2 linked regions of the Sus scrofa genome follow. The protein of the gene in region 2 purifies or fractionates together with the protein of the main gene of each other region. This does not show direct contact. Links are inferred from orthologs where the notes say so. Each region holds a gene or a part of one and is shown on either strand. Other genes may lie near its edges.

What was found. The genes of interacting proteins can lie anywhere in the genome.
Region 1: the proteins of RAB27B (region 2) and SYTL4 purify together in Homo sapiens (co-immunoprecipitation; 3 studies listed by BioGRID and IntAct, counting the BioPlex papers as one, with this or other methods). This does not show direct contact. The link is inferred for Sus scrofa from reciprocal best matches to the Homo sapiens genes RAB27B and SYTL4.

Annotation. Positions count from the first base shown.
Region 1 is NC_010461.5:82,434,430-82,439,095, reverse strand, and holds the start of SYTL4 (synaptotagmin-like protein 4), read left to right. Parts: upstream 1-1,656; 5' UTR 1,657-1,811; intron 1,812-2,137; exon of another isoform or gene 2,138-2,390; intron 2,391-4,666. UniProt on the Homo sapiens protein: Modulates exocytosis of dense-core granules and secretion of hormones in the pancreas and the pituitary. Interacts with vesicles containing negatively charged phospholipids in a Ca(2+)-independent manner.
Region 2 is NC_010443.5:104,405,215-104,409,116, reverse strand, and holds part of RAB27B (ras-related protein Rab-27B), read right to left. Parts: intron 921-3,902; coding exon 817-920; intron 1-816. UniProt on the Homo sapiens protein: Small GTPase which cycles between active GTP-bound and inactive GDP-bound states. In its active state, binds to a variety of effector proteins to regulate homeostasis of late endocytic pathway, including endosomal positioning, maturation and secretion.

The sequences.
Region 1 (4,666 bases), on a different chromosome or scaffold from region 2:
TGCTTCTGTTCTGTAGAAGGTTCATTTGTGCCATATTTTACATTCCACATATAAGTGATATCATGTGGTATTTGTTTTTCTCTTTCTTACTTACTTCACTTAGTATGAGAATCTCTAGTTGCATCCATGTTGCTGTGACATTCATTCTTTATACAAATACTAGTGAGAACTTACTATAGTAAGTCAGGTATACATGCCAGGTACTATGCTAGGTGCCAAGTTTTGGCCTTGGGTGGCACGTTGTCATTTCCTGAGATAAGAAACACTGGAGTGGGAGCAAATTTAAGATAAAAGGTGGTGGGTTCAGCTTTGGATGTGTTGAGTTTGAGGTGCCTGCAATATGTCCAAGTGGAGATGTCAAGAAAGCAGAGCTCAGAGAAAAGTTCTGGATGGAGCTATAAAAATACGGTTGTGGTCATGCAGATGGTAAGTCATGCCAAGTGAGTGAAAAATCATTTAGGGAGAGGGTATATATAGCTTATTCCTGAGAATGTCCATCTTTCAGAGGTTAGAAAGCTGAAATGGAGTCAGCAAAGGAGACTGAGGAGAGAGCAAAGTGGTAGGAGGAAAAACAAAAGTGTATGGCGTCTTAGATGCCACAGGAAGACTCGAGGAGGAAATGGCTAACTGCACTAAATGTAGGGGAAAGGTTAAGCAAGATAAGGAGTGAAAATGCTCTGTTTATTTATTTAATATAGTTTTTTTTTGACATGGCGATCATTGGTTGGGTATCTTGTTAAGCACAGTTTCAGTGGAGTGTTGAGGGAAGGACGCCACATTGCTGAGTAAGAAGTAAGGGGATAGAGATTGCAAATGTACCTGTAAAGTACATTTTCAGTAAATTTGCCCATAAAGAGGAGCTGGAAAGGTACCTAGTGTATAGAGAGGATTTTTTTTTAATATGGCAGAGACTTGAGCATGTTTAATTGCTGATGACAGATGAGAGGGACTTGAGTGTGGTAAATGGCTGATGAGAAGAATGGAGGGAGAGGAGAGAGAGGGAGAGGAGTCTGTAAGTACTGGGTAAAAATAAACGTTTTAAAGTCAATTGATATATATTGCTCACTGTTTTCTAAAAGAGTTTTTAACCAGCATACACTCCTACTGGCAATTATGAGAGAGCTTGTTTGGTGGCCACTTTGTCTTCTTTAAGTGTTATAAAAATAAGCAAGGAAGCAAACAAAAACCTTTGCCAAAGAATTTCATTATTGATCTAATTTGCTCTTTTTTGGACTAGGGAGTTGAATGTTTTAATCAGTTGTATCCATGTGTGCATTTAGTCTCTGTCTTCCCCCCCCAAAGTTTCTATTTTAGACAGATGCTTTTATTTGCCATAAAAAGCTGAAAGTCAAAGCATGAGAATGGTATCATATTTTATCTCCCCCAATTATATGCTCTTGAGTCTTCATCTTCTTAGAAGTACACAACTTTTGGCTCAGCTGAACTGAAGAGAAAGATGTATATCATTGAGAGAGTGACCACCGAGAGTCTAGTCTTAGACTCTTATCCTCGGTCCTCAAGCCCCGTTTGCTAACCTGGGACAGCACTCCTTAAGTGCCTTAAGACTTGGGCTCCCAGAGCTCCACTTGGGTGGTGCGGCCCCCTACCAAGGAGCCCGGAGCTCTGTGCGGCCCCTTTAAGAGTCCAGCTCCTCCCAGCTCCAGGGAAAGTTGCAGCTTTTTCCGCCTCCCGGGAGGGTGAGAAGGGCCGGCCGCTGGAGCTGGGTGGCGGTCTTCCCGGAGCCAGAGACCCTACCCTGAATCTGGCACTGGGACGTCTCGCCCTCTTGCGGCACCTGTTGCAGGTGACAGGTAGGTCCGTGGCCCTCGACCGCCCCTCTGCCCTTGGTCCGGGACGTCTCCTGGGCCCCCAGTCCCATTTCGCTGCCTGGGCGCTCCCACCCCCATCTCGGGGACCTGCACCCTTCCTTACCCCCTTCCACTCTCCCAGTCTCGTCTTAGCTGACCCCCCGTTCCCTCTCTCCGGTCCGCCTCTACGGACCGCACCCCCACGCTTTGACTCACGTCTGCTGGGGCAGTCCCTCCCCGCCACTTTGCCTTTTCCCCCTGCCCCCACCCCAGGTCCTTTCCCTGGCCGCTTCCCAGGCCAGTCCGTCGCCGCCGCGGGTTGTGCCCCTTGGGACTCTGCCTCCTCCGGAGTGGCTGGCTTTTCCCGCCCTCCAGAGCCTGGGGCCCCTTCTGAGAGCTGGCCCTGGGGGCGGGGGTGGGGCCGAGCTCCTAGCGGGAACCGCGCCTTCCGAGGTGTCGAGTCACCTTTTCGGCGGTGTCTCCCGCTGCGCCCGGCCGTCGCGCGTGGTCTCTGCCCCGCACTGCTTCCGGACCACGGACCTCGCGGCGTCCACTTCCCTAGCCTGGGCTGATCCGCCTCAGGTAAACGCTGGAGGCCGGTTGGCCAAGGTCCTGCCACAGTGGGCACCGTCTGCACTTGGGGCTGAGGACCCAGCTGTGTGGTCTGGAGCTGAACCGCTTTATCTTGTCACCCTTACATCAGGCTGTGGGGGTATGCTCCTGGAAGAGGGTCCTCAGAGCCCTAAGAAGGGGCACCGAACGCTTCTGCCTACTGTGATGGTTTGTAAAAGGGCAGAAAAGCTGTCTCTCCAGCCCTTAAAGTTGAATAAGATGGTTGGGTTTATTGGTGGTGAAGTCATGTGGTTAGAATTTTGGTGACTTCAACAGGTGATCTATTTCTCCTTAACAAACCTTTTCTTCCCCCAGGATCTTGCCTGCTTCAAAACCAGAGGACCTAGCATTCCAGAATACTGCTTTTGGCAGGGTTGACCCTAGACCTTGTACGTTTGTGCTAGAAATTAGTCTTCAGTACATCTTGTATCTTCTATTTTTAACTGGCTTCTTTTCTGCTCTTTCAGCTCCCCACCCCACCTCTCATAAATCCATTAATATTAAGGTTTTAATTACCTTATGTGTTTACTCGCTGGTCTGTGGAGAGAACAATGTTTAATGCAAAGAGTTGAAGTTTTCTGCTGTAGTTGTAAATGTTATTTTTTTTAAGAACTTGCTTGAAAACCTTGTTAAAAAAAAAAAAAAAGGACTGTACACCAACTTGGCTTGTGAGACCTTTCCTGGCAGGGGATGAATGTTGCTGGTAGCACAATTTCAGGTGCTTCACTCTAGGTCAGAGCTTTGAAATGGAGTTTGGAGACCTGTTCGGGGATAGTTGGTCTGCGAGTATATGTGGCATTCTCGTTGACGCTCTCTGAGCTTTTCCCCTTAAAGGCTGCTGCTAATCATGGTTGCTAGAATCCATTGATTCAGGCACTGTGATAAGTTCTTTACATAATTATCTCACATAATCTTAATGTCAACTCAATTGCTAGGCACTACAATTATAACCATGCTAGGATAAAAGGGAGACTCTGAGAATTGAAGTACCTTGCCTCAAGTCACCCAACTGGTTGGGGGAAGAGTGGGGCCATCTGATTGTAGAGCTCTGTTTGTATCCCCTGCCACACCACCTCTGCTATCTTAGATGTTAGGAACACTAAATTGCTCACAGGTGAGGACTCAATGATTAAAAATTTTCCTTTCAAGCCAAAGCCTAACTTTTGGTCTTTGGCTTGACCTCAGAGGCGCTGCAGAGATTTTGGACCCCTTAGCTCACTGATGTGTTATCCACTTCACTTCCAATGTGGGGCTGGCTGGTTGCCACACTGCCACTCTAAACACACACCCCTGAATGTACGTTGTTGAATGAAACCTCTGGGGCTCTCAGCTCAGTAGGAATTGTCCTGAGAGTGTGACCCTGGATTCTAGGGATGTGCGCCTGACTCAATTTTTTCCTTTCCTGCTGGCTAGTGGAGAAGTGAGGGGGTGGAAAGTGATAAGGATTTCCCAACAGCCAGACCAGAGAGCCTGAAGCTGAGTGTGAGTGTGTGCTTGTGTTATTGTGGGGTGGATGAAGTACCTTAGGCAGGGACAGTCCATGAGAAAATGCCCTTCTTGATCCCATCTTTGGGTCTTTGCTCAAATTACTCTTTTTTTTTTTAATTCCTGAAGAGATAACTTGCCACCTGTATACATTCCCGTGCCATTAATTCCTCTTCATCTCTCAAGATTTAGCTCTAAAGTCATCTCCTTTGGGACCACCTTACTGAACACACATTTCCTTCCCCTGAGCAGAATTAGCAGTTATCCTGTGTCCTAATGTACTTTGTTTACACCTCAGGGAAATCCCTTAATGCTGTTGTTAGTTGGTTTTCCACCTGGAAGGTTGTAACCTCTGTAAGGTTTGGATCTTGGAGCTCCCTTTGTCTTAAGTGCAAGAGATTAACAAATATTTGTGCTAGGACCTGGGGATGCCATACCTGTAAGGGCCTGAGGTCAGGTGATGGTGGGATTGAAGGACAGAGGACACCTTATGGAGGCACTTGAAATCTGACAGCTAAGAGTTTGTACTTAAATGTCACCTTAGTGAGGCTCTCCTTATTTAAACTTAGAACCCCTTCCCTGAGCATTCCATATGCCCTTTCCTTACCTTATTACTCTAATGTAATATATTGTGTATTTTATTCATTTTTCTTTCTTATTGCCTGTCTTGCTCCCCCCCTCCATAATGTAAATTCCATGTGGGCAAAGATTTCTGTCTGTTTTATTCACCAGTGGATCCCAGCATCCATCATAGAGCCTGG
Region 2 (3,902 bases):
CAAACCGGCTTGAATAACTGGGATTAGGCTACTTTTAAGCTTTATGTTTAAATGGGGACAGCTGGTTTTGTCCCACTGGGATCAAAACTGCTATTTGTAAAAAAAAAAAAAAAGAAAAAGAAAAAACTGCAAATTAAATATTATCTTTTGTGCTATATCAATTAAAAATAGAGGAAAAATAAAATACTACTCTTCCGTGCTGACATATATCAATCTGGCTTGAATAACTGGGATTAGGCTACTTTATGTTTAAATTGCCGCAAAGGCTGGGGATTTTTCTCTACCAGTCTTCCTGGTAACCCTCCTTTTCTTCAAAAAAGAAAAATTAAATTTCAATGTGGGCTTATTGATGGACACGCTGTGGCTGCTCTGCTCTGCAGCAATTTCTCAATTAATTAAGCTATTGCTTAATTAACCCTTTAGTTACCCCACATGCAAGGGTGCCCACTCAGAAAATGCTGCTGTTTGTTGTGTCACTTCCAGACTAAATGTCATAGACCTGCCGGCTTCCTTAGTTGTCAGAAGTCCTTCGAGACTTACTGGACAAGTGGAATTCATGGCCTGTCAACTGCAATAACAAAGTCCTTACGTATAGGTGTTGATTCTTCTATAGTATCAAAGGAAATCACAATTCCAAGCCACCTTGGGTGAGCCACATAAAAGCCACCATTTTGAAGGTGACACAAGAAATGCTAAACTTGTGACTTTTTAAAGTTAATCTGTGGCCCCCAGTCTGGTTTCATTTTGTAAGGCCAACAAGCAAAGAGAGCCATTGGGTCCCAACACCGCCAAGGGAAGTTACTCAGTCCCACTTACTCATCCAGTTTCTGACATTTAAGAAGCTCTGTTGACTGGTGAGGTCGAACATTAATAAGAAACCCATGGCATCTCTGAAAAATGCAGTGGTGAGGCTCCGGAATCTGCCAAGAAAGCACAGCGGATAGTTCTGAAAGTTAGTTCACATTCATATTCTGATAACAACAGAAACGACACTATTTCTCTTTCAAATACCCAATCTCCAGAGCATCCCACGGATTATCCAACAGAATGAGAGTGGGCAGAAAGACTGTGGAAGGGCCAGGGGAGCACATCTGGTTGCAGGTTTGTTCAAGATGACATCCCAGCTTTATGTCCCCATAGCATGTATGCAGGCAAGAGTTTGTAACCTCCAACCACACACTGGCTTACACAGTCCCTTGGAATCTTTCTCCCGTTGGCTCATGGGCATCGTGCAGCCCACAATTAAAATATAAGCTATTTTAGAGTTGGGATTCTAACTTATACTTTTCAATTTTCCTGTCTGTGCCCAGAAGGAAGCTTGGCACGTGGTAGCCTGCACATGAATGGCCGTGATTACATGCAGAAGACCACAACTCGTTAGCAGCCGGAACTATGATTCTTTTGTAAGGAAAAACAATGTGGAGGAGAACATTTTTCTATATGCACTCTTTGGGGGTAAGACTGAGCTCTAGGCTGGCATGCATGTCTCTTAAGGAGAAAGATGACAGTGAAGAAAGGAAAAGAAGAAGTTGATTAGGGGAATCAAGGGAAGGGCAAAGAGGTAGTTGATGAGAGGAAATGAGAAAAGTCATCTCTAATGGAGGATTTTTTTTTTTTTTTTTTTTTGTCTTTTTGCCATTTCTTGGGCCGCTCCTGCGGCATATGGAGGTTCCCAGGCTAGGGGTCGAATCGGAGCTGTAGCTGCTGGCCTACGCCAGAGCCACAGCAACGCAGGATCCGAGCCTCGTCTGCGACCTACACCACAGCTCACAGCAACGCCGGATCGTTAACCCACTGAGCAAGGGCAGGGATCGAACCTGCAACCTCATGGTTCCTAGTCAGATTCGTTAACCACTGCGCCACGACGGGAACTCCTCTAATGGAGGATTTTGAAGAATACACTCCATCATGTGTGATGTAAAGACTCTCTCTCCTGCTTCTACCTGACCCCCACCCCCATCCCAACAGCCTCAGGGCTGAAGATGCTCTGAGGTCCACTTCAATGTCAGGAATGGGCCAAACAAGAGATCACACCTAGGGTTCAGAGAAGGTATGGGTTATACTGGTAAAGAAGTGAATCTGACAACTGGTTTTTTGAAAGGCAACTTACTTTGAAATAGAGAAGCATATCACTTCCTATCTTAAATGTCCTTCTACTGTTTGGTTCCCTATTTTAGCCAATTTGTAGATTCTTGGTTTCCTTTCTTGACCCTTTCTTCCTCTACATCCATTCACTGGGTAATCGCACTCATTTCTCCAGATCAACTATCACCTATATGTTGAACCCCAAATTTATAGGCTCTGATCTTTCCTGCCCTCCACAATGTCTGCCCAATTACTAGTTGGATATTTCCACTTGGAGGAAATTAAGCTACTCCCAACGTCACATGTCTGAAACCAAACTTGCCCCTCCTCCTGATTTCTTTTTCTGTCAGTGGCATCACCGTCCTCCTTGGTTGCTACAGCCTCTTTCTCCTTCACCTGCTAAATACAAACCAACAAATATATCTTCCGACCTCTTCTCACTTCTGTCCATGTACCCTGACACCACTCTAGTTTCCAAACCATTTTCATCCCACCTGGATCATTTTAATAGCTTTCTCTCTCTCTCTCTTTCTCTTTTTTTTTTTTTTTTTTTTTTTTTTTTTTTGTCTTTTTGCCTTTTCTAGGGCCGCACCTGTGGCATATGGAGGTTCCCAGGCTAGGGGTCGAATTGGAGCTGTAGCTGCCGGCCTATGCCAGAGCCACAGCAATGCGGGATCCAAGCCGCGTCTGCAACCTACACCACAGCTCATGGCAACGCAGGATCCTTCACCCCCTGAGCAAGGCCAGGGATTGAACCCGCAACCTCATGGTTCCTAGTCGGATTCGTTAACCACTGAGCCACAACGGGAACTCCTAACAGCTTTCTCAATAGGCTTCCCGTCTCCAGTTTTGTTTGGGAACCTCCCCTTCCCTGATTTCTCCCCATTGATTATATAAATCCTTAGCTAAACCATTTAAATGATGAGGCACTGCTCTTCAGATAATGACAACTTTTTAAAGCAACCTGTCCAGGCTCTGCATGAACTAACCCTTGCCCATCTATCCTTCTTTATCTCCTGACTCCCCACAGGCGTGCTGCTCCTCTTGCAGTTCTTAGGAAGTTCACTCTCTCCCCTGGGCTTTCACACATGCTGTTATTCCTGTGGGTAACCTCACCTTCATGCTTCCCTTACCTCCTCCCCCTTCAGCCTGGATAAGAGTCACTCATACATTGTGTATGAATGTGTATCTATAACAGGATCACTTCCCCACACAGCCATCCAGCACCCCCTCCTGGGTTATGGACTCCTCTTAGCCGTACCTGCCTATCACTTTTTGTTTTCCTGTTAGTGTCCTAAAGCTATATTGCTACTGCGTATTTATCCAAATTCTACCCTACACTGGAAGCTCCAAGAGAAAAGGAGATGTGTTTCTAACTTGCTATCCACTGTGTTTTTGTGGCCGTGAACATATATATATATATATATTTTTTTTTGGTTCACAAAATATTTGTCAAATTTAGAGAAAGAAAATAGCAAATGATACAAAATTATTAAAGATTTAAATGACTTCAACAGAGAACAATACTTTTAGTACCGAAGTAGGGAGAAGAGATATTTTAATGACTGTTATTTCCCAAATAAGATTTCTTTGGTAGGACATAATTACATTGCTTATGAAATACCAAAAATTTTACTCAATTTTATTTTTGTGGATTTGTTCCTACCAGTCAGTAGAAGCTCCCAGAGGTTACAATGCTTTTATTGAATGGTTCTCTCTCTTTCTCTTTCTTTGGGGACTGCCTGTACTCACAAAGTTGTCTCCTACTCACCCATGATAGTGTGGCTAAGTCAGCCACAAAAGTCTGCTCTCTGTTC